Drosophila melanogaster: one gene and its partners. The protein of the gene in region 2 interacts with the protein of the main gene of each other region in a biochemical or structural test. Each region holds a gene or a part of one and is shown on either strand. Other genes may lie near its edges.

Region 1 (10,384 bases), on a different chromosome or scaffold from region 2:
TCTCGAGAAGCTCCAATCGCAGGTGCAGCGAGGATATCAGTCGCACCCGCCTTAAGATCGAGATGCAGATGCCATGTGGCAGCGACCTGGAGGCCATGGCCATGCTGCAGCATTCCACCTTGGGCAAGGGAATTGCCAGGCGAGTGAGTGATAGCCGTCTCATGCCTCTGAGAAATCATCAACCACGACGCCACAAGCCGCAAATAAGTTTCGACGAGGAGTCACTGGAGGAGAATAAGCGTAGTGAAGCGAAAATCCCAACAAAATGTCGAGAAAAGCTTCCTGGAATAGCAAGAGAAATAGTAAATCTGACCGAAAATACCCTCTAAGCGAGATGGGCGTGAAAAATCGCCTTTAACCCGTTTACACACTCGCTTCACTTGGCTGGAATGTGCCGATGACGCTGATCCCGATCCCGATTCCTATTCCCGCTCCTGGTAAACACAAATCGCTTCCTGAACGCTTTTGGCAGCCATAATCGATTTCAGTCACCCGCTGACAGCTGCCGAGAATCCCGAATCGTAGTTGGGCTGCCGCCTTGGACATTTCCGTACCAAAAACAATCAATTTTTCGGGCTATTAAACTCGAATGAATGTGCCAAAGATAAATAACAGCAACGACAGCCGAACAGCACTAAAACTACCACTACTGGTCAGGGTTAGGAGTCCAGATATCGACTGGCAGTAAGGGGTAAGCCATTAGGTGGCCTTCGAGGAGCGGAGCTGGCAAATGGAAATGGCTTAATATGCGTTTGGGCGAACCATCAGGTCGGCGGATAAACATGATTTAGGTGTATTGAAATAGTTTCCGTACGCCGGACCGTACAAAATGGCCGCCATTACACGGGCGGCCATCACCGGAAGTCGAAAAAACTGTTGCCTACTTGCCGGCAGCTCAAATAAAAAGCTTAGCTCAATATGCACACAATGTCCACATGTAAACACAGCTGTACATACACATACATACCCCCACACGCACACATAGCCAAATATTAATATTTATATTTGTACGAACATATTTATATACACATATTTACATATATATAGTCTGCTTATAAATATGTACAAGGAACCACACGCACACACTCACACACACACGAGAGTTTGTAAGTAAATAAATTTTTTATGACAACTCATGGCGGGACTTTTCCACATTACCCCATCCAATCGGAATCTGTAATTTATATAATTCTAAGGAAATCGGACAAATGTTCGTCCTCTGTAAATATACGTATTCGTACCATGCGCGTAGCTTTTTAATTTGTTTTCGTAGCCCTATGACGTAGACTCCCACTTTTGTAGAGTAAAAAGTAATAAGTAGCTTGAACCCACACCATCCTGCGAGTATGATGAGTATGAGCAGACGCTGCCGTTTCCGTTTCCGCTGTGTGATTAAGTTGAGTGCTTCGCCCCCGAAACTTTTCCAGTAGTTAGCCGTTGAGTAGCTTTTAAATATTTGTTTGTTTCCTGCCCGCAGCGCGATAAAACTTTGCAGACAGCGCTAGTCACTCTAGTCCCCGCTAAAACTGATAATATGATTCTTGCAGTCCCATCATCGCCATATCCACCTACAGCGTGGAACCCTACGGGGACGGAACCGATGCTCCCGTTTGCACCACCGCCGCCGATGGTTTCTGGTCGATCTTCTACTTCGTGGGCTGCATCACGGTGTTTTTCTTCCTGCCCTTCGGCATCCTGGTTCTTCTATACGCGGCCATCGCTTACAAGCTGCTCCGTCCCAACAACGCCTTCCACCGACCAACCTCCCCGCAGCCACAGCAGCCGTCCGGCGGAGCCACCAGTGGCTCCTCACAGGTGCCCAGCACCAAGGGTAACAGCCATCAACAAAGCAACGGGATGAGGAAGCATCGCAAGCAGGTAATCTTCATGCTGGTGGCCGTGGTGTCTAGCTTTTTTGTTTGCCTTCTACCCTTCCGGGCCTTCACCCTCTGGGTGATCCTGGCCAGCGCCGAGGATGTCGAGGGTCTGGGCATTGCCGGCTACTACAACCTGCTGTACTTCTCGCGCTTCATGCTCTACCTAAACTCAGCCATGAACCCGATCCTCTACAACCTGATGTCCTCCAAATTTCGCAGCGGCTTCTGGCGGCTGCTGCTCACTTGTCTGGGCCAACGGCCACATCACCACCATCGCCACCACTACCATCAGAGGCAGCATCCAACGGCAGGCGGAAGTGGGCGCAATGCGTCCACGCGACAGGAACAGGATGCCGAGGAAGGAGCTGCGCTGGCGGGAACGACCAGCGCCCGACATCCACGTCGCACACTCCGCCGCGAGGCCACCTTCTTGATCAACTCCATATCCACCTCCTCGGGTACGGATCGCACCACATCATCATCGGCGTGGCGCAGCAACAGTCTGTCCATTTCCGGTCTGAGCGAACGGGAGCGCGGCATACTGGGAGCCGCTATCATCGGCACAACGGCTGCCACCGTTACAACCGCCTGTCTGCAGGAGCGACGCGCCAGCAAGATCTGAATCCCATCCTAAATATGCATCCTTCGAGTCCCTGTCCACTGCCAGCAACCGTTAAAGTATTTAGTTGAATTCCAACAGCAAATAGTCATAGTTTTAGAAAAATTTTGTTGTAAAGACTGAAGTACCTCAGAAGAAGTCAATAAACGCAAGAGAAGATGTTTTTGAAAATCGAAACTAATTTTCTTCGGGCTTCGAAAAATTGAAGTTTGCAAGATTCGAAATAGCTTTAACTTGATTTTTAGAACAGAAACGAGTATGAACTTTTCATACGATCATTTTTATCGCACCTATTGTGATTTAATGGGAGATAGGAGGAGACCAATTGGGATATGCAAAAATAACGCAACTATTATTATCTTTGTATGTACGATTAATTTTAATCTCTAAAGAGTCAAAGTACTTCAATAATTTTACAAATCTGTCGGAGGGAATGTAAGCTTGCCCAAATCAAATGGAAGCTACAATCGTTGTCAGATGGAGATATTTTATGTTAGAAGGAATATCTCGGATACGAAATATTTAATTTAAAATTCCTTTTCATATTATTCTTTTTAAAAAATAATAAGTCCTGTATGTATACAATGCAATACATAAAGGTAGAGTATGTCCTAAAAAGAAAAATATCTTTCCGAATATATGTATATAATTTATAAAATAAGTGGATACATACATTTTTCGTAAGTATCCTAGAAGATTTGCCAACGTATCAGGTTTACAAAAATTGATTACCTATGTGCAGTTAACTTAACGGCAGTGCACTAACTAATCTGATTTGTGAAATAATGCAGATATAAAACATTTTTAAATAGAAATATATTTATACATCTGATTCTTCAACATCTAAGCACTCGTATAGAGTGCTTTGAATATATTCTAAATACATTGGCATGATCCAAGTTTTAAATCAGCCAAAAACTTGCTCCAAAAACAGGAAGATTCTACACAAATCGCCTCGCCCTTAAAGTTTCTGCCAAGTATTTGGGTGCGTGCGGATCAGTTCCGGCCTTCACTTAAGTTTTGCAATCTTTCCAAAGTCAAGAAATAAAACAAGTCGTTTGTAGGCATCGGTACAGATCGATTTTATTAGACTCAGGTCAAATTAAGATTCAAATTCGGGCGACAGTAAAAACCGAAACTAAAGTGTGTCCTTGATCCCAAACCTTGCAATTTAAATACGCACACGCAATAATTTTTATTAAACTTCATCGCTATGTCGTCATTATTACACTAATTATGTGCCTAAACAAATCCCTTGTGTCACACGATAATTCAAACACACAATCGCTCGACGTTAAATCTAAAAATGTTCGTTCGGTTTTGGGTTCGATTTACATAAAATTTCAAGTGACGATCACGTTCGCTAGAGATAATATGTTTAGAAAATTGTATTTGTAATTTAAACACATACATATGTATACATAGTGGTAAGTAGTAGCTGACACAGGACAAGTACAATTGCTCCTGCCGTCGCCTGCGCTCAATTAATGTGTAGTTAATAGTACATATTAGTTTCGGTATGGTTTCGCGCTGCTGTGATAGGTAACTTCTTATTGTAGGTTAAAGTAATATTAGGTTAATTGCTACACCGAATTTGCTTGCTTTGCACTACTTATGAACAGAACTGCGGAAATCAGAGTGACGGTTAGTATTAGGATCGATGTCCTTGTTGCTCGAGTTTAGTTGGGGATGTCTGAAGTCTGGATCGGGATCTGGATCTGGAGCTGGTTGGCTACGTACCTAATACATATTTGCTTAAATTGTTTATCGAATTGGATCACGGTTAGGATCATACAAACGCACTACTCGTCATTCCTCACCATTATTGTTATTACAGAATTAGTTATTATAATTACGATTTCGTGGATCCGCCATCGGTTTCGCTTGTTTTATTATTATTGTGTGGTTTCCGTTTTAATTTATTATATTTAAATTTTGTTTAATTGTATAATAAAATAATGATTCACAATCAGAGTTATTCAGCAGCAACCGGATTTGGTGTTTTCCACTGGACGTCCTTGATCGATTTTCACTTTGCTAGCGTTGTCAGTGGCGCTGGACGGCGGCCCGACGCGATTCTTGATCTCCGCCGCCATCGTCATGAAGGCCTGCTCAACGTTGGTGGCGCTCTTGGCCGAAGTTTCAAGGAATGGAATGCCTAACTGGGCGGCGTACTCCTGGAATTTTGGAAACAAAGACCCAGATTAGTATATACGTGCATCTATGATTCCCAGGACTAAACCAGCAATATACGCACCGCAGCTGTGGTGTGGTCGACTACTTTCTTGGTGGTCAAGTCGCTCTTGTTGCCAACCAGCAACTTGTTGACATTCTCACAGGCATACCGCTCGATCTCCTCCAGCCACTGCTTCACATTGTTGAAAGACTCCTGGTCCGTGCAATCGTATACGACAATGATGCCATGGGCGCCCCTATAATATGAAGACGTGATGGTGCGGAAGCGCTCCTGGCCAGCAGTATCCCACTGTAAACAGACTAATTAGCTCTGGACTAGATTGCCTCTGGCGTTTTTATGCTTACGATTTGCAGTTTAATGGTCTTTCCGTCGAGTTCTATAGTCCTGATTTTCTGCAAGATAAAGGTTTATGAGTCAGACATAAAGAATTTTCACAAATTTCCGGTTGGCTTACGAAATCCACTCCGATTGTGCTGATATAACTTTCTGTATATGTGTCATCGGCAAATCGCAACAGAAGACAGGACTTTCCAACGCCCGAGTCTCCAATAAGCAGCAACTTAAAGAGATAATCGCTGTGGATTTGGAGATAGTTAATATAGTTAATGTTATAAAATAGTTATATAGTTAATAAATTATAGTTAATTTAATAGTTAATGATATAAATTTGTGCTGCGATGTGGGAATAGTTCAGACCCTATGCTGAAACATATAAAACTTCAGAGAAATCTAAATAAAACTGATGATGCATATTTGCGATAGTGATATTACAAGACGAAATGTTTAAAATCAGAGTGTAAAAGGTTTAGTATACATTTAAAGGGAAATAAGTTGGATGACAATCAGTTAGAAATCATTGATTCAAGCAAAACATTTAGAGAGGTGTTTTGCGGGCATAGTTTAGTCGGGCAGATACTAATATATACATAAAACCGGTTTGGTTTAGGCTTTATCTTATCATGCTATGTCCAACATCAACCCCCAATTGCTGAATGATATGCGATAGTGTTCCAATCCTCTGCACACATGTATGCTGGCTATTGAAGGAGGCTTTCTGGAGAGTGCGAACCAAGATCGGTTCAGATTTAATTGCCTTGAGTGAGAGCGGCAATTAAGTAGCACTGGAATGGCCTTTGATTACGTAGCACTGCGCTGGGGGTGGGAAAGGCTCTCCACGCAGGTGACTCATCCGCCCGACTAGCGATTTGGCCCGTCAACTGGGATCTCGCTGTATATATGTGTGGACTTTATACATATGCAGATTCCGATGAGAGTTTCGAACGCGCTTTTCATCGCCTCGCCCGTGGGCACTACATTGAAATCCAGCTGAAACACACAGTTTTGGTTATGGTTTCTCGATTGGGTCGGTTGTTAGGTCCGAGTGTGTATTTTGTTTTTAGCAAATGGTCTGTTTTTTTGGAGTTGCCAACGAGGGCAAAAGGGAGTGGAGTGGGGCTGCTCGATAATGAATGGGAATGAAACGTAGCAGAAATGACGTCGCAGAAAAAATAAAAGAAACTATTTTCGAAGGCCAGAAAAGGAAGTGGAAGCCCAGTCACTGTTTTAACTCCAGATAACTGCGCATAATTACGTGTGACGACTTACTATTCCGGATTCACAGATGACATTTTCTGGCTTTTTCACAAGATTATATATTTGCCACGAACAAATATTCGATTTCTGGCCCTGGACTGGCTGCTGTTCAGAGTGTTTTTATTTGATTTGCGCGTTCCGAAATACTGGAAATCGACACGCACTCGGCTTGTGTTGTGTTTTGCAGTTCGCTATTGTAATTATTGCAGCGAATTTAAATGGGAAATACGTTTATTTCCACAAATTCGACGGCCGAGAACGAGAACAATGGCGACTGAAAAAATGACGAAGTGGCATTAGCGGCAGTGTTGGAAAATGCGCGGGGCCCTCTTCCAACCAGGGCTACACATTATCTTGTCTACGGAGGTGAGTGGGCGGAACCAGAGAAGAAAATATATGGATTATCGCCAAATGACCCCTAACACACCCCATATAAAAACAAAAATACTTAACTTTTGCATACAATCTCTTATGGTACATCATTTGTTTCTAAACACGGCCTTTAACATTTGAGTGTTTGCATAGAGAACACATTAAAGATAATAATAATAATACGCGTAATAGTATATGAAAGAAGATTCGATAGGCGGGTGTAGCGCCTGGGGGAATGCATCTGGCAGATCCGATATACATATGTATGAATTGGGCCGCTACTCCAGCGAATTTAGCGTGAGCAGCTGCTTGAGCACCTTCGTCTGCGAGGTCTCCCGGATCTCGCCCGCCAGGAACATCTCGTCCACCACACTGTACACCTTGTAGAAGTTGAAGACCAGATCCAGCTCGCACACATTATGGAAGTATTCGTTGAGCACCTCCACGAAGTTGTGAATGGCCTCCAGATAGCACAGGTTGTTGTCGTTTACGTCCACGCAGATGCAGAAGTACAGACCCGCATAGCGTCGGTAGACGATCTTGAAGTTGCGGAACTACAAAGGCAAAAGTGTGATAAAAGGGTGATTCAAAAGAACATATGGACTCGATCCCACCTCCACAAAGTTGGTGTGCTTGGCATCGCGCACTGTGACCACGGCATGCACCTCCTCAATCAGTTTCTGCTTCTCGTCGTCATCGAAGTTCATATACCACTTGGCCAGGCGAGTTTTTCCAGCTCGGTTTTGTATAAGTATGAATCGTATCTGGGCGAATGGAAGGTCAAATAGGGGTCTAAGCTTATAGCTGGCTAGTTGCTTACCATTTTTCGGGAAATTGGTTAAACCGTTTCCTGCTTATTTACAACTTTTTTTGTTTCGAGAATGGGGGCGAAAAACTGATTATGAGCAAATTGTGTATCACTGGGACCAGGGCTACCACTACTGTTCCGGAACAGCTGTTACCTCGTCAGTGTTGCAAACAGTTCGCGCAGAAAGCAAACGAGTTGGCAGACCCGCGCGCTGTATTACGAAGTTTCACTTTCATATTTGTTTTGGCCACCACTCCAAACTAGTCATTTACCAAAAATGTTGGCCTCTCGCTTGAATCTCCTGTTGCCCCGCGTATCCTGGCTGCGCGGTTGCTCAACGACAGCGGTGGGCCAGAAACATCAGCGCCAGGTGCCCACGGAGTTCGCCGTACACGATCCTCTGCAGGCTCACGCTCTAAAGGAACAGTGCATCCTGGTTGACGCCAACGACCAAGCCATTGGGGCCGCCTCTAAGGCAGACTGCCACCGTGTGCATCCAGAGACGAATGATGTTAAGCTCCATCGCGCCTTCAGTGTTTTTCTCTTCAATTCTCAGGGAGAGATGCTAGTGCAGAAGCGATCGTCTCACAAGGTGAAATTAAAGGGTAATCCCCTTATTACAAGGTCCATAATCCTCTGTATCCTTAGATAACCTTCCCAAACACCTACACCAACGCGTGCTGCAGCCATCCGCTTTACGAAATCGAACAGGAACGTCAGGAGCGCAACGCACAGGGCATCCGTGTGGCCGCTCAACGACGTCTCAACTACGAACTGGGCATTCCCACAGAGGAACTGCAGCCACAGGACTTTCGCTACCTGACCCGCATCCACTACGCAGACACGGGCGACGGCGTGTGGGGCGAGCACGAGATAGACTACATCCTGTTCCTGCAAAAAGACGTGACGCTGCGTCCAAATAGCAACGAGGTCAGTGAGGTGCGCTACTTGCGCCGCGATAAGATCGACGAGGCGGTGGCGAAGTTTAGTGCCCCGCTGACACCCTGGTTCTCTCTGATTCTGCAGCATCGATTGAAACTCTGGTGGGACAATTTGCACCAGCTGGAGCAATTTGAGGACTTGAGTAATATTCAGCGCTTTTAAGTGTGCTAACCAACCAAAAATACACGTAATGACGTCTAAAAGGGGCTTTTGTTCGTTTGGGTTTCAAATTCGCTTTATTCAAATGGAAAATAGTGTGTGTCTGTGTGCGGACAATGGGCACAAAGCGGATTTTATGCAACCTCCGCGGGTCGATCAGTTCAGTACAACGCTTTTGTATATGTAAATATAACAATACATATATAGTTTGTATAGGCGCACGATATTCAATATGTTTCATAGCCTAACTAATGTGTTTGTATGTTGAATATCAAATAACTAATTAGCTTTTAAAATGATCACATTACGTTTCCCATAATCATCATCATCATCGTCATCGTCGCAACAAGAATAAATATGTACAAAAGTACGACTACAGGCTAACAGAGACACAAACTAAAAGTATTGATTCTAGCCTAAATACAGAAGAAACAAACAAAAGACAAGCTGCAGCACTTAACATTAACATATATCGCTTCGGGAGCGAGTTCGAAGCGCGCGCTTCGAGGCGTGAAGTGCAGACCCCGGGCGAATCCGGAGTCGACGTTCACGAGGCACCACCTTGGCACCGTTTCTCTGGGTACTCGAGTAAATAAAGCAATTGCTCGGAAATTCCAACAACTTAAAGCTAGACCCTGCAAACTTCGATCGATGGTTTGCACCTTTACGGCAGGGGGTGAATATATAGTTATATACGTATACGTACTTTTCGCATGCAATGGGGGTCGTATTTGTGGATGTGTGTATGTGTGGGGATCAGGATAAGCGCTTCATCCTGAATTCGATTAGTGGTTAAGGCACATAGGTATGAGTCTATCGTGAATCTCAGGCTCGTTGAATCTATAGAGTTACGGGTTTAAAGCTGCTGGGTGGCACACTTTGTCGTTCAGTTCCATGTGGCTCCTTTACCATTTTCTAGGACAAGCCAAACAGTTTCAGGGCATTAAAGGCAGTGGCCAAAGCCACCTCGTCCGGGCTTTTCTTCATGAAGGCGGCTATCATCTCTACAATGGCGGGCAAACTGCACGGCTCGTTGCGTTGGAAGGTACAATATCTGGAAGGTATTTTGAACTAATAGAAGAGTGACCTATTTTGGTACTTTTTACTTCGCCCACCTGTGTAAGTACAACAATGAGCGTTCGGTGATACCAGTCTTCACGTGTTGCGGTAGCTTGGAAGCCCTTGTGTTTGGGTACATGAAAGGAGCATCCGTCTCCACCAGTAGTCTGTCTAGCGGCAATGTGCCGTCCTCCAGCAGGCGGCGAACGCCAGTATCCGATTTGTCCTTGCACAGGTAGCCCGTCAGGCTGATGTAGAACCTCCGGTCTAGGTACTTAAGCGCCTCCTCGGCGGTGCCCATAAAACCTCTGATGATCACAGGCGGAAGATTCTCGAATCTGCGCGGGGAACAATTTAAAGTTTTGTAAACCAAATCTACGGCTCTTACTTGTCTAGTATTTCGAGTAAATCGAGCTGAGCCGACCGCTCGTGGATCAGCAGAGGTTTATTTAGCCGGATGGCCAGATGCAGCTGCTTGGCGAAGATCTGCTTCTGGGCGTCCGGTTCGGAGAAGTCCCGCTGGTAGTCCAAGCCGCAGGGGCCAATCGCCACACACTCCTGCGCCTGGGCGATGTGCTCCAGATCGAACCACGTGGCCGGCTCTTCCACGATGGACTTGGAGTCGTGCGGGTGAATGCCAGCAGTTGAGTAGATTATGTCGGGATAGATGCGCGAAAGGCGCAGCGCTTCCTTGCTCGATTTGACCGAAGTGCCGTGAACCATTAGTTTCTGGACACCTGCAACAAGAAAGGCGGGAG
Region 2 (9,272 bases):
GTTGCTGTTGTTTTTGCGTCGTTCAGGTATTTTGCTGTTTGAACTCGACGACGACGTTTTGGTTTCTATTGTTTAGCCTACTGTTTCAAACACAAGGTACGAAACACAAAAAAAACAGATGCTTTGTAGCCGAGTGTCCTTTTCCTGTTCTGGGTCCTCAAAAGGTGGAGAACAGGCGTCGAAGTCTACACAACGGCGAAAATGTCTACACTTTCGTTGCTTTGGCGGCAACTACTGAAACGCACGTGTTGGTTCCGATTTATTGATTTTGATGCTCTAGGTTAGGAAATTAAATTGCGTTCTTGAGCCGAGCTGTCAATTTTTTAATCTTTGTCTTTCTAACCCGAAACGTTGCCGATCAGGACGCACCTATGCAAAAACTTTGGTGCTTCCAATTTTTGGCAATTCTACACGACTGTCTTTGCCGTTTGCAATTGTTCAACTCCGATCGCGATTTTTGCGGCCGTATCTTATATATAGTCTGCTGATTCTGATGGCTCTGCTGCTTGGCGTTGATAATACAAAAATGTCGTACTCCCGTCGACGTTGCAGCAAATTTCATGTTTAATTGCAATGCGTTCACTTTTCTCCGCGCTGGCAGACACTCCCACTCCGCCCTCGGTTCGCAGTTATTGTGAAATCGAATCGAATGCGCTGTCTTTCGATCTCTGGTGCTTCGATTTTGCTATTTCCGATTCGGCCAGTGAAGGCGCTTCGCGGACTTTACGTTGGCAGCTTTCGGAAAGCTCTAAAAATAATGCAAATAATTAAGCACTTAATTCGATTGCTGATTTTTACGAAATGAAAAAGTGAGTGACCGTATGCGCGAACGTTGGAAAATACCATGAATAGCGGTATATTCAATGGAAGATGGAAGTCTGCGCTCATGCGATAGTTGACTTTCGATAAAGCCTATACCTATAATTATACTATACCTATACTATACCTATTATACCCTACTATACCTATATTTACCTATAATTAAATGTGGCTGGAAATAAATAAAACTAAATAATCTTACTTTATAAATTCATTGATTGGTCCTATGCTTTTCCGCAAAATACTAATTTATAATTTTATTTATGGACAATAAAAACTTCTTATTTTTGTTTAAATCGCGATATTCGCGCTCACAAAAATATCATCTCCACTCTGCACCTGTATCGATACTTTCGTTGCAGCCCTGCGCCACCCGCACACATGCACACCTACACACTCACACGTACGCGCTCAGCGATTTGCAGAGAGAGTTTTCGGGTTTTTGTTTAGTTTTATTTGATTGCAACTCGATTGGAACGACAGCGGTTGGCGCAGCACACAACAATTCCTCAGCGAGGTCGATAAGAACGGGGGCCAAACTAAGAAAAAGCTCCAGCCGACTCGATTCGATTCGAAGCTCAGAAGATTGGACTTCAGAACTCGAACTTTGGCACCACAGCAGCGCATCCACGAACGTCGCACCCAAAAATTCATGAATGCCCAGCAGCGGATTTGGACTCGGATTCGGAATCGGAATCAATAGCGAACGACAACAACAAAAGGGGGAGCCGAAAGTGGGGTTTGCAACACCGCGGATTGCACACAATAATTAGGTAATTTGTAAGCGACGTTCACCTGGACAAGGTGAACTTGGCACCGCCTCTATATGGCAGCCTTCGTACCTGTGTATCTTATCGATCGAGTGCCCTGGCTAATCGCGGGATAATCTTGCAGGTATGGCGGCGATTGAGGAGCGTTTCCAGGCGGCAGTCAATGTGATAAAGGGTCTGCCCAAAAATGGCCCCTACCAGCCCAGCACCAGCATGATGCTCAAGTTCTACGGGCTGTTCAAACAGGCCACCGAGGGTAGACCAGATGTGGACAAGAAGCCCGGCTTTTGGGACATCGTAGGCAAGGCCAAGTGGCAGGCATGGAACGATAACCGTCACTTGACCAAGGAGGAGGCGATGCAGCGCTATGTGGAGAGCCTGCAGGAGATCATTGAGACCATGTCGTTCACGGAGAATGTGCAGAACTTTGTGGGCAGCCTCGATAGTCTGGGAAACATCAGCCTGGACGAACTGGAGCTGGTCTCGCCCGGCATGAAGGAGCTGGCCGAGTCGCATCCCAACTCGCCGTTCCACTCGCGCACCAACAGTCCCCAGCACGGCTCCAGTTGTAATGGCGAACCGGAGCCGGAACCTCAGGCGACTAGCACCGCACCGCTGGCCACATCCGAAACGATTAAGGAGAATGGCCATAGTTCGCCGCCACTGACCAATGGCTATGGACCTAAGCCAACAGCAAGCTACACACAACATGACACGCACAACTTTACGAGCAACAGCAGCGTGGCCATCGTGGATCCCTCGGACGATGAGTACGACGATCCCTACGATCTCAGCCACGAGCTGACCCAGGCGATTGGCCAGAACACGGACCTGCTGCGTCAAATCCAGGCTGCTATCACACGGATGAACAGCGATGTGGGCGCAGTGCAGCAGCGCGTTCGCAGCCTGGAGCAGTCGCTCAACGAACTTCGCAGCGGCCAAAAGGCAGCGAAAGGAACGGTGGCGCAGCCACGATCACTGCCCGCCTGGTGGCCCTTCAGGAACATCTCCCCGCTCTGGTTTGCCGTCCTCATCCTGTGGCCTTTCCTGGTGAGGCGGTTCGCGCGGATGCTTCAGTCCAATCCGCAGCGCAGGCACTGACGCAGGAAAGCTATACTTGCGGAGGGCGGAACATGTGGTAGTTAAATTGTAAGTACAACGCAACTAGACAAAGGCATATGTTACCATTCCCACTTTATATTTGAGACGTATTCCCGCAGTCAAGAGAATTTAAGAGCATAGGGAACCTGTTTCGTAGCGAAAGCTTTTACATCATACATTATTTTGTACATATTTGCATTTCATTAACATATTCAAGGTAACGATCTCTATGCGAACTCAGATTGTGGAATATATCTTGTGAGTATTTGGGCAAGGGAAAGTGCTCAAGCATCCACTGTTTAAACTAATTATCAGTAACATGTGTTTCCAATTATTAGTTTAAATGAATGGTCACTATTACAAATAACTTTATACTGTTTGTGCCACCAAAATTAATCCAATGTAAACATTTTCCTTTCAGTTATCTTCGGTTACGGGCACGAGCTTGGTCTTTAGCTTTCTTCTATCCTAGAAAGCGCTTCAGTTATTGTACAGAGTTGGCCTTATTTATACCTTACTTACCCCCATGGTTATCCAGTTGCAATATCTCTACCCCCTTTTGTACACGTCTATATATGTATATTGAATGTATATTTATTTCGTACACACAAATCGCGACCTTTTTGTCACATTCCCCATCTGATTTAGTTCGTAAGTCGAATGTTTTGGCAATTTTGTCCAGCAGAAGGCGAGTTTTAGCCACCTGAAAGCGCCGATCTACTGAAAATACGGTTGTAAGCGTATACTTTATTGTGCATTATTTGTTGTTAATTATAATTTTTGTAATAAAGCAAAAAAAAAGTGAGAGCGCACGCTTGTCATCCATTAGGGCTGTGGAGTGATCCGCAGGTAACTCTTTCCGGAGGGCAGCTCAATGGTTTCGATACCATCAGGAAAGAGCTTAGGAACATCTTCGGCTTTGACGGTGGGCAAGACCATGCACTTGCCGCCCTGTTTCCAATCCGCCGGCGTCGCGACACTCTTTGTTTGGGTCAACTGGAGCGAGTCGATCACTCGAAGGATTTCACTGCAAAGGATATAGTTAAATGTAATTTGTCGGATTAATTGACCTTGAAATCGTTCCTATTTAACTTCCATTATTATATGCAAGGTTAGTACTTAGTTTTCAGCAATAATACTTCATTAAATAATTATCTGCTAATGCGATTAAGTGCACGATTGTTTGCTAAAGTGCATTACAGCATTACTTTATAGATAATGATGAATGCTAGATATTGGAATACCCACTCAAAGTTGCGCCCAGTGGTGGCAGGATACAGGATGGACAGGCGAAGCTTCTTCTTGTCGTCCACCACGAAAACGGCGCGACAGGTGAGGGGAATGCCCTCGGCATTGATCTCGTCCTTGTCCAGCATATTAAACTTGAGCGCCAGTTCCCTTTTGTCGTCCGCAATGATGGGATAGTCAAAGGAGCTCAGCTCTGCGAACAGAAACGCCAATTAGAAGCGATTCCTGTCCAGAAATCAGTGACCAAACCCACTGCCAAAGCTCTTGATGTCCTCGATCCAACCCTTGTGCGACTCCACGGTGTCGCAGGACAGTGCAATTGGCTTGACTCCACGCTTTTGGAATTCCGGAATCAATGCCGCCACCCGGGACAATTCCGTGGTGCAAACCGGCGTAAAATCCGCCGGATGGGAGAACAGAATGGCCCAGCTGTCCTGCATCCAGTCGTAGAAATCGATTCGACCCTCGCTGGTCTCAGCCGTGAAGTTTGGGAACTGATCGCCAATGTTTAAAGCCTTTCCGGACATGGTGGATATTTGAAAAAATCAAGAGACGAATTACGAGCTTTTTGGATAAATGCGAAACAAAATTTGCCGCAAAATGCAAATCAGCTGACTGGGCTAGGGTGCCCGTTACCTTTATAAGCTCAGCTCGACCAGGGATGCAAATATAAAAAGAACTAGTTTTCGTATGAAGATGTTAAAAAGAAGGCTCATTGTGTGCATTCATTTTGCAATCATTTCCTTTAAGTGTTTTAAATCTAAAGTATTTTCTTTGACACAAGCAAACGAGTGTTTCGTATATTTTCGAATTTATGAGCTCAAAAAGTGAACCAGTGAACCGAACCACTTACACGTGCTTGCATCCCTGGCCATTACTCATACACACGCACACTATATCACACATACGCGCAGTGTAAACACAAAAAAAGCTGAGAATTTCTTGCATTTATTTGTTTAAATTGAGCAAAGAGGATATAACCATGACAGAACTGAGCATCACTGGCCAGCAGGTGATGCCCCCGCCCGCATGCACACCACCGGAGCCCTTCCGCATCACAACGAACGCCCCGCACCAGATGAACGATGCCAGTTTGACGCCGGGACGCAGGAAGCTCCAGAAGTGGCTGGGTCGAGTTCTTCGGATCGTGATTACGGACGGACGCGTGCTGGTGGGATTCTTCAACTGCACGGACCGCGACGCCAACATCGTGCTGTCCATGTGCGCCGAGTACTTGGTGGAGGGCCAGGAGCCGCGCCTGCTGGGCAACGTCATGGTTCCCGGCCAGCACATAGTCTCCCTAAGCATCGACGAGCCGGATCCGCAGTCCAGCCTGCTGGTGCAATAGTGTGCATGTGTTTTGAATAAAATAAACTAGCTATTTGAAATTTAAGTACGTTTAATTTTTATTTTTGGATGGGGTTATAGTAAACCCCTCCACACTACGCCCCTGCGTCGATCAGCTGTTTGATAAGCCACTGCCGCGTTGCCAACCATCGCGCAGATGAATCAGCTGTGCTCGATTGGATTCACTGAGTTATTTGTTTGCTCGCAGCACTATTCCTGCCAATTAATAGAGTTAATCAAGCGAAACAGCGCGCCGAAGAGGATCTGCCAGCCACCCGATACTCATTCAATTGAGCCCAATCAGCGATGGACTTCACGACCTTCGTAAAGCCCTCAAATGGCGGTGGCGACAGCGGCGGTGGTGGTGATGCGGATGGCGGCGGCCAGAAGCTGCAGTTCTGGAAGCATGTGGAGTACATCGAGAACCATGGGAAGCAGGAGGACGACTACGAGTACTGCATGACCGAGTTTCTGCGCATGTCGGGCATCTATTGGGGCACCACTGCCCTGGACATTATGGGCCAGCTGGAGCGATTGGAGCGCAAGTCCATCATCGAGTTTGTGAAGCGTTGTCAGTGTCCGAACACGGGCGGATTCGCACCCTGCGAGGGCCACGATCCCCACCTGCTGTACACCCTGTCGGCCATCCAGATCCTCTGCACCTACGACGCCCTCGAGGAGATCGACCGCGAGGCGGTGGTCCGATTCGTGGTCGGACTGCAGCAGCCCGACGGCAGCTTCTTTGGCGACAAGTGGGGCGAGGTGGACACCAGGTTCAGCTTCTGTGCGGTGGCCTCCCTAACGCTGCTCGGCCGCATGGAGCAGACCATCGACGTGGAGAAGGCGGTCAAGTTCGTGCTCTCGTGCTGCAATCAGACGGACGGTGGATTCGGTTCCAAGCCGGGCGCCGAGTCGCATGCGGGTGAGTCACCACATCGCCTGTCATGCTTTCGCCCTCACAGTCAATATCATTTCAATTTAAACTTATTAATCTTCTGGGAACAAAAAGTATACTAGAAAAATAGCTAGCCATAAAGCTGGTGCTCATATATGTTATCCAAAAACTAATCTACATATAACCCGCAGGGCTCATCTACTGCTGCGTCGGCTTCTTCTCGCTGACCCATCGCCTGCATCTGCTCGACGTGGACAAACTGGGCTGGTGGCTCTGCGAGCGGCAGCTGCCCTCCGGTGGGCTAAATGGACGGCCCGAGAAGCTGCCGGATGTATGCTATTCGTGGTGGGTGCTCGCCTCGCTCACCATCATGGGCCGCCTGCACTGGATCAGCTCGGAGAAGCTGCAGCAGTTCATACTGTCGTGCCAGGACACGGAGACCGGTGGCTTCTCGGACAGAACTGGCAACATGCCGGACATATTCCACACGCTGTTCGGCATCGGCGGACTCTCGCTACTGGGACATTCCGGCCTGAAGGCCATCAACCCAACGCTCTGCATGCCGCAGTACATCATCGACCGGCTGGGCATCAAGCCGCAACTATTGCCGAGGCCATGAGGGGATTCATCGATTCCACATGCAGCCAGTGCGTAGCCAATGTGTAGTGCAGCAGACCTCTGACGTATTCCCACGCTAGCGTTTCTTAGTTTTATTTGTAAAAAGACCAAAATTCCATAGCAGGAACACCCTTTCTTTACTCATTTTCTTCGTTATGCATTTACCCCTCTATTATTATTAAATATAGAATATTTTGTATAGCGAACGAAAATCAGCAATAAACAAATATTTTACTTTAATTCAGATCAGTTAACATTTGATTTATTTGCAAAGATAACTAAACTAACATTTGCATGTGTGAAAAACCGTGTGAAATGTTTGCGGCTAGTAGTCTAGGTCGTTATACATATTAGGTAAATACATATCATTGTGTAAATTTATGTACATGAGGATACGATACGAGTGTAGGGACTAATTAGTTAAGAAGTTGGCAAAAAACTGCATTACAAATATGGCGAATCACACAAAATTGGAATTACAAACTAAACGCTAAGTGTAGTCACCGTGTATGGGTTAGCTCAATTAGAGGCAATTGAAACGAATCTTGCAGAGCACAAACAAATATTAATCGACCACATCATACATATGCTGTGGACAATGTCCGAGTGTGTGTTCTGTGTGTGTGTGGTGTGTGCGGTGTGTGCGGTGTGTTGTGATTGTAGTATACTCGATGCACGTCTAAGGCACTCTATAAACAATTTCAGCTAACAATCCGTTTAAAATTTATGTCTTCAACTACGGACTAATGGAGGAGCATTAGGAATTACTGAATTTCTCGTCGCTAGTCAGAACGTTGTATGCACAGCCGAGGGCCCAGGAGATTTCGTGGCCATCTATCTTCTTGTAAAGCTGCACAATTTAAAACGAGTTACTAGAGAGTTCAATTTGTGTTAAGTGCGCCAGGACTCACCTTAATCTTCTTGCCATCGTTGAGGCCAAATCCTTCGCGCAGCAGCGTCGAGATGAAGGTAAGGTCGAAGCACATGAAGGGCTGCTCATCGTTGGGAATGGCACAGATCTCCTGGGCCTTCTTGCGATAAGCTTCCACCGTGGTCTCGCCGCCAGCCAGTGGATCCACCAGACCCGACTCGATGGCCCGCTCAAAGTAGTAGCTGAACGCGGCCACCGCGTGCTGCTTGAGTGTGAACGGCTTGGGCTTGACCAGCGGCATTACCTTGCTCTTGACCAGCTCCAGGCAGGCATCGAAGTCCACAATGGGCTGCTCGGCACTGGACTTGCCATTCTCCTTGCCGCTGACCTTGTACTGCACATTGCCGTATGTCCACGTGCGATTGGCGATTATGGGATTCACGCAGACGCTCTCCAGCACCGTATCCTCCTTCTTGTAGCCGTGCGTGAAGACAGCATGGCGTGCAGCCATTAGACCCAGTCCCAGATAGCTGTGCGTGAAGACGTTGATCTTCTTGCTGGACGTGACCACCTCGTGCATGTACTTATCGTACACGGGCACCTGGTCCGGATCCGTTGGCGAGAAGGTTACCTGCGTGCTACCGCCGCCCAAGTCCAAGGCAGCTGCCTGGTTCGTCTTGGACAGGCGGCCCAGCAGGAAGTTCACGGTAAACCAGCTGAAGATGCCCTCGTCCGTGCCGTCCATGATCTCCACGGCATCCATATCCACACTAAACTCGGACTTGGCGAAGAGATCTCGGACGGCATTTAGAATGTTTTCCGCCTTGCTGGCGGGCAGGAGTCTCAGGCCGGCGGTCGCTTTCAGAACCAGCGGTGTGGAAGACCAGTGCTCCTTGGGTATGAAGGCGCGGGCCTCGTCCAGCAGCAGTTTGATGGAGTGGGCACCCTCGGCGGGATTATCCGCGAAGGAGCTCAGACCCGGCTTGCGCTCCTTGAACAGCTCCTCGTACAGCACCAGTTTGTTGTCGATGAAGCTGCGATTGAACTTGTAGGCCAGCACACGGCTGCCCGTCGATCCGGCATCGATGATGGCCGCATACTGCACCTTGCTGTAGCCAAACTTGGAGGCCAAACGGGCCAGATACGGACTGGCGTTCTCGGAGACGAAGCCTGCATCGTTGTCAGTCGTTGGTTTATTGGCGATGGGTTTTTTAGTGATAACACGGCGAACGGGTGGCGCAAAATGGGGTTCCACGTGGGCGTAGGGCACGGTAACAGTGGGAAAATCAGAGGTTTTCGTTAGTACAACTTTGGGCACTTCGTCTTTTACATAATACAAATGGTACACACCAAAGACAAAGAGCAGGAGGATGACGGAGATGATCAGGCACAGGAAGGAGATCTTGAGGCCGCTGGGCCCGCGGTTTCCACCACTGCTGGCATTTGGTGATCCGCTACTTTTCCGCCGCGGTGGCTTCTCATCCGTGGCCAGCTGAAAAGGCGAAAGACAAATTAGTTTTGTGACCGACTACTCAGTTATTTGATGGTGTTTTTCTTGGCCAAGTTCATCGGGTCTACCAGCTTATATTCGTATTTCATGGTT
Region 3 (12,143 bases), on a different chromosome or scaffold from region 2:
AGTCGTCCACCGCCTCAATGTCTTGCACGGTCACTTTGGACATCTTATAACGCTCTTTTTTCTCTTCTAAACAACTTTTTACCAAACTTTAATGAGCAATTATTTCGCCGACTTATCGGTATGGTATATCGAATATTTACTAAGTGTTATCGAGGTTTGACTTTCGATACTAGGCGATAACAATTTTAAGCGGTATGTTTTAAATTATAATACAAAGTTGTGTCAGAGAATATCTGACTGCATTATCTTTTAAAAAGATATTATCACTAGGATTGTAATAAAATAAATAAATCAAATAGGCGAAAACTACCGAATCATAAACTTAATTTATATATGTATATCAAAATCCGGTTCTTAACTATTTAAGCAGGAAACAATGATTTGTAAAATATTTATAAATTAATTAAATATTTACAACTTAAACCTATGCTATTAGTAATGTTCACCAACATAATATTCGTTGGTAATTTTGATAAGAAAAGTAATTAATTACAGATGTTTGAATAACTCATTTTGGCGCCCTTATTTCAAATATCCGCAGCAAGCAACAGGTTGGAATGCCGTCTGCTCGTTATAGGCCGCCTTGGAACAGCTGTTGCTGTTCAGCTTTCACTTTGGCTTCGCTTTGGCTGGCCGCTTCTCGAGAGGGCCAAGAGTTGTCGGTGGAGTTGTGGTTCCGTTGATACAGTTATGTTGCAGTAACACCCGTACACGCACGCAATCACGGCACAAGCTAAACACCCGAAATCAGCAAAGATGGCCGACCTACGGAGTCGCCACAATGGAACCGCTGCCATGGAGAAGCAAAGCCACAGCCAAACCGGAAGCCACCATCACAACAACAATAAAGCGCTGGATAAGGAAGCATCGGAGAATGGAAAGCCGGAGAAGAGTGATCCCATGATATACATAATCTTCGTATCGCTGCTCTTCGACTTACTGGCCTTCACCATCATTCTGCCGCTGCTGCCCTCGCTGTTGGAGCACTATCGCCAGAACGACAGCTCCGGCTTGTATGCCGTGCTCACGGATCGGGTGCGCTGGTTCCAGCAGCTCCTGGGCGCCCCGGATCGCTACATATCGGTGCTATTCGGAGGCTTTCTCGGCTCCATGTTCAGCTTCCTGCAGTTCGTGGCCAGTCCGATTGTCGGAGGACTCTCGGACTACTACGGACGGAAACCAGTCCTGCTGGCTTGTGCGGTAGGTAATCCCAGTGCTCAATGCTTTAATGTGCACTAAACACTAAACTAGTCTTGTTAGTTTTCTTTTTGGCTTGGTCAACATTTCATGCTATTACGAGTTCAATCCAAAAGCGTGGAATTCGTCAAATTCAAACTCCTTAGCTAAGCCACAAATAAGTAAACCTTCCTTAAGCTACGTCTTCTTTCATCTATAGAGTGGTATTGCGTTATCCTATCTGATCTGGGCCTGCTCCAGCAACTTTGCCCTGTTCGTTTTGGCCCGCTTCGTGGGCGGAATTAGCAAGGGCAACATATCCCTGTGCATGTCCGTCATTACGGATGTGTCCAGCGTTAAGACCCGTGGACGCGGTATGGCCCTTGTGGGTGTGGCCTTCTCGCTGGGCTTTATTGTGGGGCCCATGATTGGAGCCCTGTTCGCCATATTCTCCGATAAAAGTGGAAGTACTTGGTTTGTGTTGCCCTCTCTGCTGGCGTTTGGCCTGGCAGTTGGAGATCTTGTGGTCCTGGCCTGCTGTCTGCGGGAAACGTTGCCCAAGGTGCGTACGGTTGGCTAAATTAAATATATTCCCAACACCATTAATTGTTTGACCTTTTCGCAGGAGAAACGTGTTAAGGAGATATCATCTGCACTGTCTTATGGCCTGCAGTTGCTCAATTTTTCGGCCATATTTAGGTAATTCAATGTTTTAATTAGCATGTCTCGAAAACCTGTCGTGTGATCAAATCGAAATCGTCATACGGTGAGAACTGCAAGCCACCCGGACTTGCCTGACTGGTTTGATAGACACTATTATCATGCCGGGTTCTCGGACACGTTTGTTTGATTGCCTTATCAGTTAGTAAATTCTAGATTGCTTTTGATTAATTGTAGTTACAGGGAATTGAGTCCAGTTAGCTAGAAGATTATTACCAATGATTATGTCTGGATTTTACAATCATATTTCAAAAGAATTCTCCCACTGACAGATTTGCTGCCATCAAAAATGTGCCTAAGAAAGACATTGCGGCACTGCGATCCATTGGCCTGGTATACTTCTTGTATCTCTTTCTGTATTCCGGCTTGGAGTTCACCGTCACATTTCTGATGTACCACAAATTCGGTTACACTTCGATGGATCAGGCGAAGATGTTTTTGACAACGGGTATGGAGCAAGTTGATAATCTACAATATTCCCTATCAAATTTGTGTCTTTTTCTAGGTGTAATCATGACTTTGCTGCAGGGATCGGTGGTCCGACGGCTGCCCGAGGCGAAGATCAAAGGCTATGCCATCTTCAGTTTGTACCTGATTGTACCCGCCTTCGTAGTAGTCGGCCTAGCCGAGGGCAGTCGGATGCTGTACGCCGGCATGACCCTGTTCGCAATCTCCACAGCCTTCGCTGTCACCTGTCTGACCACCCTCGTATCCAAATACGGAAACGATGACCAGAAGGGTTCAGTACTGGGCATATTCCGCTCACTGGGAGCTTTGGCTCGAGCTCTGGGCCCCGTGGTGGGATGCATTGGTGAGCTCCTCAGCTGTCTTAGGATTATACCTTTTCTAAACTCTTTAATCCTTAATAGCCTTCTGGTGCGTTGGCTCCAGGATCACCTATATAGCCGGCGGACTTCTGCTCATTTATCCAGCCATGGCCTTGCAACGCGCTCGCATTTAAGTGCAATAGGAATAGAGTTTTTAAACTCACTAGAGATCAACGGAAGTATTAGCTGCACATTATACTTAATTTATCGTTTTTTACAAGTATTTTATATTAAAATAAACACATTTTTACTCTGATTTGTAAGCAGGGGGTTTTTACTTGGGATCGAAATGTTTTCTATTTAATTAATTTTTTTAATAAGATAATATTAGAAACAGTTACTGCTACTGGGAGAACGATTCTGTTTAGGTTGGAACGTTTTAAGTATTCAAGACATTTTGAGTTGGAAATAAGTTAAATGGGCTAGGGATAATCCCTAGAAAATGTGTTCAGCTTTTTTAAAATACGATAGGCTTGTCGGGATGAAACGAGAGCAGTTCATGATAATTCGTCGTACCGTCTGGTAACTCTAAAACATCCATCTCGTTAATTTAGTGATGCAAGTCGATGTGAAAACATCGATAATGATATAAGTATGTTGGTGTTTTAAAATAAAACAAATAAGTTTTTTAAATAGGAAACAAACATTAGATTTATTTTCTAGACCTAATGTGTTTTAATTATGAAAAAATTTAATTCTAATTCTAAAGCTTTTGAGTATAAAACAATGTTCATATAAACAAAAATAGAAGTGACATTGTACTATCGCCTTACATCGCCATTAAGAAAATCGATAAGTATCGCCGAAATAATGTCGATGTACCGATATTTTTCAACATCTCTAGTCTCGTTGGAAATATAACGTGACGTTATTGGGAGTGACTAAGTTTTCGTGTAAGAGAAAATTGCAAATAAATGCGCTGCAAGCAGCTGCAAATCTCCAATTAATACTGCTCCAATTGCCGGAAAAGTCCTGCCAGCATTTTCGAACGCATCCGAGCTGGAAGAGCAACCGATTTCGCCACTTAAATACTGATATATACACTTTTCTCTTTCTTTACAACTACAACTGCAAATAAAAGTGTAAAGTGTGTGAGCCGACGACAAACGCATTAAAGAAATCGGCGGCGCGCAGGGATTATTGGATTTCGTTTAGCACCCGCACACACAAAACAAAAAGGACGGAACTGGATTTCCAAAGGATATCGAACCGAGCGAGCGATAGCAAAACAAATTGAGCAAAATGGGTGCAAGAGAAGACGAGTACGATTATCTGTTCAAAGGTAATTATAAACATGATACTAGCCGCTGGTCGAAGATCGCGGAAGGTTGATCAGGAGGGGAGGAGCCGCACTTCCAGGCTCTCCTCTCCCTGCCGTGAGAGACAGTGGTTCAATAGCACTAATTGAAACTAATTGGAGAATAACAAAAAGTGCACTCGAAGAGCCCAAAGTTCATGTGATGGTATGTGGTGTGTTTGTTTGCGTGAGTGTCATTAATTCCCAAAATAAGAAGTACGCCCCCCGAGTTTGTTGTTGTTGCTACTGCTGCAGTTGGATGCCCTTTGGTGGCTCTCCCGCTCTCACTCTGCCTATCTCCATCTCTTTGGGGTACTCTTTCGGACTGGAGTACGCGTACTTTGCCGTTAACTGCTTGTTTTGTCATTACAGTGCCGTTGGTCTCGCCACGTTGCATACAAAAGCCAAGCAGATCGTATTTATAATCGCTCGCTCTGTAAAGTAGGTTTAAGGCTTGCCCACCCACTCGAAATGCTAAAGTGATTAGATATCCAGTAAATAGAGCGAGAGTGTGGGTATTATGATTTCTGTACAGCTGGCTTTTGCAATGGTTTCTTGTAACTTCGTTTAGTAGCTCTCTCTCACGCGCGCTCTCTTTTTCACCCGCTCTCGATTGAAAGTTTGAAGCACAGTAGAGCAAAATGATGTATTTGCAGGTAGAAAACAAGACTTTTATCCCGCATCTTCCCCCGTTTATGTGTAGATATGTATGAACAGAGGTCACAAATTCTCAGCTCTTCTTTGTTCCCTTCGTTTGCTACTACGCCATAAATTCCAATTGCGCTTGGAAATCTCTGCTAGCTATCACAGCTGAGCAACTGTTGAATGTCATTAAAAAAATATTTAAAACTTAATCTGCCGTATTTTTTGGGTCAAGTATACAAAAAGTTAAAAAAAAAGTCATCATAATAATGCGTCAGTGTGCGGTATGCATGATGAGGCCTCAAATTTCACACATGAAACAATATTAAACGGACATGACTCACAGCCAATAACTGCTGAAGAATTCCACTCACCGATAAGCGCATAATCACATAACTGAAAATGGGCCGTTTCGGGTTATTCGAGCCAATCCCACTACTAAGTAATGACCGTCGATTACCACTCCTCCCCTTTTAATTTCTCATCGCATCCGCTTAACTAAGTGCAATTTCTCTTTAAAGATCGTTATTAGCGCTGAGAAAGAGAGTAGAAAACAAAGTGACTCAGCTCTCTCGCTGATAACTGTAACCACGCTGCTCCCAGCTGTCCACACTGAAAGAAAACCCTATACCCTCTAATTTAGCTATCTAAATTAAGTCAAAAACTTGGACTTAGCTCAAAAGTCGTTTCAAATATTTAGTTCCTATCTTAATGGCATTGCAATCGAAACTTCGAACTCAAGAATCAGTGTTCATATGATACCATTTTACTATTTGAATTTTCTCCGTGCAGCGATGACCATAGCGATAGAGCGAAAAGGTGTTTGATGAGTTATAGTTGTTGTTTTCTGAATGGATTAGCAAACATGCTGAATCAACAATGTCCGAAAAGGGTGTCAAAAATGGAAACTAATAGACAGACAGTCAGTAAACACAGTGTCTAGATATCAGTTAATATATATTATAGCCAACAACTCTGGCCGCACATAAGAAAGTTTATCAAAAAGAAATGGAGTCGTAAAAAGGTCAGTGGATAGTTTTTATCGGGTAGCATATCAACTTGGGATGCTTGTTTGCTCCCTCAAATATCCGCCACTCAATTATCCAAGAAATGTTTGCTATCGGCAATGAAGCACAATAACACGAACTCCCTAACGTCGACTGGCCCAATCATAAAACATTTCTTTCCATGGCCTGAAATCCCCCGAGCATGGCGGTTTTATGTACTCGCTGACCTTGGTGCGCCGTGCCAGCGGCGAAAGGAGGACATGACCTAGCCGGGCCACCAGCGACCATTCTGTCCGGCCGTAAAACACAAGACAGGGGCCATGCCACGCCACGCCACACCACACACCCACATAAATTATGCAACTGGGGGTCTTCGATTATCCAATGCCAATGTCGATGTCACTAATTCCCTCTAATCCTTTGCAGTTGTCCTTATCGGTGACTCCGGTGTTGGCAAAAGTAATTTGCTCTCACGTTTCACGCGCAATGAATTCAACTTGGAGTCCAAGTCGACGATTGGCGTTGAGTTTGCAACGCGCAGCATAGAGGTGAGTACGCTGGCCAAGAATTCGAGGGTGGAGTGGCCCATGGAGCTCCACCCCCACACATCTACCGCACCGCACCCACAGTGGGGGAAGTCACGGGTGAACTTGCGTGTGCGTTTCGGTGGGAGGACACGTAGTTGAGGCGTCTATCGGAAAATTGGGGGGAAAAGTTTGTTCAATTTGAGTAAGTGTCGAGAATTTCACTAAATAATGGATTGCCAATTGGCTTTCTTGCATAATTTCAAAAGCCATCCTACGGGATTAGCCAAAATGTTGACATCATAGTTGTCACTTGTGCTGAAATAATAAATTTATGTGGTCAATAACAATTATATATTACGTATGTATAAGGATTTGTGTTAAACAATACTTTGTGCCATCTTTTCGAAGTAGCTTAGTAGGTCATCTTAATATTTAGTATATCAAATGGGTTCAATGAATATAACTTACGCTACTTGCGTTTTTTCTAACTAGTGTAAGAAATTTCAAAAATTGGGTTCTCTTACTAGAGTTAAAAGCTTATCCATAAGCTCTAATTTATGTTGGTTATGTGTGAATACTGAATGCCAGTGCTTGTATATTAATTTTCAAAGCGAATGCGCCGCAGGCATTTCGTGGCGAAATTGCCAATTACTGGCACCATTCTAATGCTGTCCTTTGTTTCATCCTTCTTGTGCATCCAACGCAGGTCGATGGCAAAACAATTAAAGCGCAAATCTGGGATACGGCCGGCCAGGAGCGTTATCGCGCCATCACCTCTGCCTACTACCGCGGTGCCGTGGGGGCCCTGCTCGTCTATGACATTGCCAAGCATCTGACCTACGAGAACGTGGAGCGGTGGCTGCGGGAATTGCGCGACCATGCCGACCAGAACATCGTCATCATGCTGGTGGGCAACAAGTCCGACTTGCGGCACTTGCGCTCCGTGCCCACGGACGAGGCGAAGCTGTTTGCCGAGCGCAACGGCTTGAGTTTCATAGAAACCTCGGCCCTCGACTCAACGAACGTTGAAACGGCATTCCAGAACATACTCACAGGTGGGTCGTTCAGGATATTTTAGCTAGTCTGCTTTCAAATTATCGATCGTTTAAGAATATTTAAATACTGTAGATTAAACGCTTCATTGAAAGTCAATAGATTAATGATAACGAAGCACGACTAATGATGTCTCGTAATCCCGTTTCAGAGATCTATCGCATTGTGTCGCAGAAACAGATCAGAGATCCGCCGGAAGGCGACGTCATCCGCCCGTCGAACGTGGAGCCCATCGACGTAAAGCCGACTGTCACCGCCGATGTGCGCAAACAGTGCTGTCAGTGACCGCCCCAAGCAATTTTCGCTATTCCCCGCAACCGCCAGAACAGCAACATAAACAGAAGCAACAGCAATTACAACTACGACTACAAGAGGAGCAGCAGCGGCCAGAACTGCAACACCAAGATCAGGAGCAGCGTACACCCGATGGACCGCACAAGATGTCTATGCGTTTGTCAGCCACAGTTTGTCATGTGCGCATAAATTGATAATTCAAATCTGAGCCGCCACTCTCCACCACCAACACCACCACCATCATCAGAAGCAGCAGCAGCAGCAAAAGAATCGAAAGCAACAACATCCGGCTGTAGTTAACTGCGGTTTAAACTGAAGTTTTATATATATACAGATCCATGAGTATCGCATAAATCGACCGCCGCGGAAAGAAAGCAAGCAAAACTAAACACTCCAAATTCAGTTTAAGCTGTAGAACTATAATTTATATAAATATACATATATGCTAATATTAAAATATTAATATTATTAATTTTTCGCAACATAAATATATAGTTGTAATTTCGCGAGCAGAACAACAACAAACAACCGGAAATTCTTCGACTTAAACGCAAATTCATTACCACAGCACTGCAGCTCGGATTTTCTTCTTCGGTTTCTCGCAACATTTTAAACGATTGGCCACTTGGTAAAACTAGCTGATAAAGAGAAATCAAACAAAAACAGTTGTAAAACTTTAAATGCATAAATGAAACGAAATAACATCATTTGTGTTTGCTATGTTAAGTGTGATTAAATAAATATAATTTAAATAAAACAGAAGTGCTTTCAATTGGGCGGAAAATCGAAATTTAAAATGGGATTAGAGTGACCAAAGGCAGACGTCGGAGTGGGTGTTTGGTATTTTCCGCGCGAGCAGCCACACTGATCCATACACGTGCGGGAGAAAAGTGAACAAAAACATTGAAACATGGGCGGTAAGAAGAAAGTGCATCCGAAGACGCGCACGGCGGCCTTCAAGGCCAGCGAGCCGAGCGAGATCGTGGAGGCGCCGCACTCCTTCGTCATCCATCGCGGCCTCGCCTGTCCGTACATCACGGACCTCACCCTGGACTTCCGCCGCATTATGGAGCCCTTTACGGCCAGCAATCTGCGCGAGAAGCGGATGAACCGCATCAAGGACTTTGTCAGCCTGAGCAGCTTCTTCCACGTCTCGCACATGGGCATCTTCAACAAGGCCTCCACGCAGCTGTCCTTCAAAGTGGTCCGCTTGCCGCGCGGTCCTTCCCTGACTTTCAAGGTTTGTTTGTTTCATCGCTTAGTTTATACTGGATATTTTACCGCGAAGTTATTCTCTGTCAGGTTCACCAGTTCACCCTGGCCAGAGATGTGATCTCGCTAAGCAAAAAGCAGATGATTGACAACGATCACTTCAAGCACGCTCCGCTCGTCATCATGAACAACTTCAGTGGCGATGGCAAGCACCTTAAGCTGATGGCCACCACGTTCCAAAACATGTTCCCCTCAATTAACTTGGCCACGGTTAATATCGGCACCATTCGTCGCTGCGTCCTGTTCTCCTACAATCCGGACACGAAGCTGGTCGAGATGCGGCACTACTCCGTGCAGGTGGTGCCGGTTGGCTTAAAGCGGGCGGTCCAGAAAATCGTCAAAGGAACGGTACCCAATCTGGGCAAGTGCAACGAAGTCGTGGACTTTGTGACCAAGTAGGAAATGACCGTTTGTTCTCATTCCATCAAATAATCATAATATTGATTTTCAGGGACGGCTATGCCTCCGAATCAGAGGCCGAAGATGATGAGCAATCACATGTGGTGCTGGCACAGACTCTTAAAAGCAAGGGCAACTTGGAGGACAAAAAGAGCTCCATAAAGCTACACGAGATCGGACCTCGACTAACCATGCAGCTCATCAAAATAGAAGAGGGCCTTCTGACGGGCGAAGTACTGTATCACGACCATGTGGTCAAGACAGAGGACGAAAAGGAAACCCTGCGCAAGCTGGTCGAAAAGAAGCGAAAGCAGAAGGAGCAGCGCAAGAAGGAGCAGGCAGAGAACCGTGCCCGCAACTTGAAGCTTAAGAAGGATGAAAAATGGGCTGCCAAGAGGGCGGCAGAGGGACGGACTGACAGCGATCCCGAGGATGATGCAGAGTACTACAAGGAGGAAGTCGGCGAGGAACCAGACGAAGGTGAGTTGTGCTACATGCTGCGTAGAATATAAACTAATGTTTCCTTTGCAGAACTGTTCAAAATGGAAGCGAAGTCCTCCCGAAAGCGGCCTAGTTTGGGCGGCGGAATGAAATACAAGAACAAGCGCGCTAAACTGGATACCAAGGACAAGAATGACAAATCTGAGCGCACGGACAAGTACGATCGTAAGGACAAGTTCGATCGCAAGGACAAGAAGGACAAATTCGACCCCAAGAACAGGAGAGCCAAGTTCGATCCCAAAAACAAGCGCGCCAAGTTTGACCACAGAAAGAGTAGAAAATCAAAGTAGTACATTTAACATAAGCTATTTTATAAAGACCATTGGTTAACACGACATCGCAATGTTATCAATGGGAACTAACTAAACATACGTTGCACCACCTCCTTGTAATGGGCCTTGCTATCCTTCCAGCTAACAGCGATGTTGTCGCGCAGCTTGCTGAACTCTCGCTTCTCCTCGTAGTTGGGCATTCGCTCGATGGTGGCTTGCGCCTTGGCGAACTCCTTCAGGTGATAGTAGGCGAGTGCACGCCGGTAGATGCTCTTCTCGCTGGGACTCTCCTCCGTCTCCACAAACTGCGTGTGGTAGATTACATGCTCATAGCGTTTCTCCTGCAGCAAACAGGCGGCCAGGTTGGTCTGTATCTGAATAAAGAGCTCCTCCACCGCCTGGCCGTTGATGCCATTGGTCTTTTTGGTCAGTTTATCGAAGGGTTTGTAGGTGATCAGCAACTTTGCGGCACGCACAAAGTAATCAAAGGCGAATTTCGGGAACGTCTTAAAGGTGGCCACGCCGCTTTCCTTGAGACGTAGTGCCACCTCATAGATCTCTGCAGCGCTTAGCTTCTCCACCTGAGTGTTCTTCACAATTTTCTCCAGCTTCAGTTCAAATTCTATTCGTTCGCCGGTTTTGGTCGTGATGCTACAGGCTGCCGTTTCACCCGGCACAAATTGCTGCAGCAGCAGCTCCAAGTAGCAGTCCACTGCGGTCAGGCTGGTGCCCATTTCCAGGCTGTGCTTTTGAGGATACGTAGCGGACTCATCGCTGACCAAATATTTGCTAGGTCGTCCTCCCAAGTTGGTGGCTTTCTTGTTGACACTGAATTCCACCGTACTGATTATCGTGGGCTTGTCCATTTCGGTGAATTGGAGGCCAATTACCTTCTTGGCCAGACCACGGTTCTTGTCCTCCCACTCTGTGCCCACGTACCAGTCCATTTTGGAATATTTGCAAATTGGGAGCTTCGAAATTTAGCAGTAAGCAAAGTTTGCGATTTGGCGATGTGACCAGAAAACCGTCAAAAATGTACCTATCGCGAATTTCACAAAAAATACTTTGTTCTCACTAGTTCATAAATGTAATGCATGGACTACGCATCTATTTGCAAAACAAGTGAGTTAGTCGACTATCAGATACCTTGTACGCAGCTGGTGGGAGTGCGAAGGAGAAATTGGGCAACAATATGAAAATTTTCAGAGCTTAGGAAATACAATAATATGCGGTTATATAATATTATAAAACCGCCCAATTCAATTCTAGTGGTTTTAATCTTTCTATTCCAAAACAAAAATGTTAGCATGCATTTATTGTAACTCATGGCTCTTTAGTAAAACTTTTTATTACCCATTTCCGCTTCACTAAATTTAATCAATTGGGTGAGTCCATTTAAGATAAACAATTTTCTAGCATTTATACACAATTTATTATTATTTCTAGTTATGTTACATATACTAAGCCCATTCGCGCACTAGCAGTTGCTCGGCCATCGTTTAACATGCTGCCCTCTTTCCACTAACAGTTTTACATAATCCGGAGTATGTGTTCATATTTTTGTTAACACTTTTGTTAAAGTAAAACGTTATGTACATACATTAGTTAACGCGGAAGCGGCGTGATCGTGATCCAGATCAAGTATAGCATTGGAACTTAACTTACAAATAGCAATACACATAGTAAAATATCCATTGATCACAATCAACGAACGGCATACATACATATAATTATATTGTTGAAATTGCCTGGGAATTTGCTATTTTCTACATACATCGGTATATCTAAAACCTATAGTTAGCATAGATCAATCAATCAAAGAATCGGTTATATATTGCAGTACAATGGATCCATTTTCAATTCATCTTCGCTCGAAAGATGTGCAACTTCCAGTTGCAGACACTGCTGCGTGTCCTTCTTTACACAATTAACTTTTCAATTAAAATATTTGTATTTCGGTTAACTTAGATTACAATTGCCAATAAGATACTAGGCTTAGATTTACTTTACAATTAACACAAACATTAGGCAAAAGGCGTGTAAAATAGGTTACAAATGTGCAAAACGGCAACGCGCTCTGCCAATTTCAATGATGCAACTCTAACTAACATTTATGCTAAAGACTGATTCTTCTGGCCGCGCTGAAGATTCCTGCT

Evidence for each region.
Region 1: of the proteins of RabGGTb (region 2) and Rab1, one has a biochemical effect on the other in vitro, tested with the Drosophila melanogaster proteins (one study listed by BioGRID).
Region 3: of the proteins of RabGGTb (region 2) and Rab11, one has a biochemical effect on the other in vitro, tested with the Drosophila melanogaster proteins (one study listed by BioGRID).

What each region holds. Positions count from the first base shown.
Region 1 is NT_033777.3:21,262,473-21,272,856, forward strand, and holds Rab1 (Rab1), read right to left. Parts: upstream 6,589-10,384; 5' UTR 6,322-6,588; coding exon 6,299-6,321; intron 5,323-6,298; exon of another isoform or gene 5,269-5,322; coding exon 5,148-5,268; exon of another isoform or gene 5,086-5,147; coding exon 5,038-5,085; exon of another isoform or gene 4,982-5,037; coding exon 4,754-4,981; exon of another isoform or gene 4,674-4,753; coding exon 4,476-4,673; 3' UTR 3,557-4,475; downstream 1-3,556. Other genes in the region: ETHR, read left to right, coding at 1-329; AP-2sigma (adaptor protein complex 2, sigma subunit), read right to left, coding at 6,937-7,212, 7,273-7,422, 7,479-7,481; Idi (Isopentenyl-diphosphate delta isomerase), read left to right, coding at 7,744-8,058, 8,115-8,570; CG3308 (uncharacterized protein), read right to left, coding at 9,483-9,621, 9,683-9,964, 10,015-10,363.
Region 2 is NT_033779.5:2,873,673-2,882,944, forward strand, and holds RabGGTb (Rab geranylgeranyltransferase subunit beta), read left to right. Parts: upstream 1-5,439; 5' UTR 5,440-5,591; coding exon 5,592-6,207; intron 6,208-6,371; coding exon 6,372-6,799; 3' UTR 6,800-7,036; downstream 7,037-9,272. Other genes in the region: CG8814 (uncharacterized protein), read left to right, coding at 1,716-2,690; Prx6a (peroxiredoxin 6a), read right to left, coding at 3,516-3,717, 3,939-4,131, 4,192-4,465; Sbat (sabbat), read left to right, coding at 4,921-5,286; NTPase, read right to left, coding at 7,556-7,648, 7,710-9,161.
Region 3 is NT_033777.3:21,107,851-21,119,993, forward strand, and holds Rab11 (Rab11), read left to right. Parts: upstream 1-3,557; 5' UTR 3,558-3,965; coding exon 3,966-4,005; intron 4,006-6,095; coding exon 6,096-6,217; intron 6,218-6,902; coding exon 6,903-7,251; intron 7,252-7,400; coding exon 7,401-7,534; 3' UTR 7,535-8,296; downstream 8,297-12,143. Other genes in the region: Sec15 (secretory 15), read right to left, coding at 1-43; rtet (tetracycline resistance), read left to right, coding at 757-1,200, 1,397-1,738, 1,802-1,875, 2,169-2,344, 2,402-2,707, 2,766-2,857; ppan (peter pan), read left to right, coding at 8,454-8,783, 8,846-9,210, 9,267-9,694, 9,746-10,005; Bdbt (bride of doubletime), read right to left, coding at 10,074-10,934.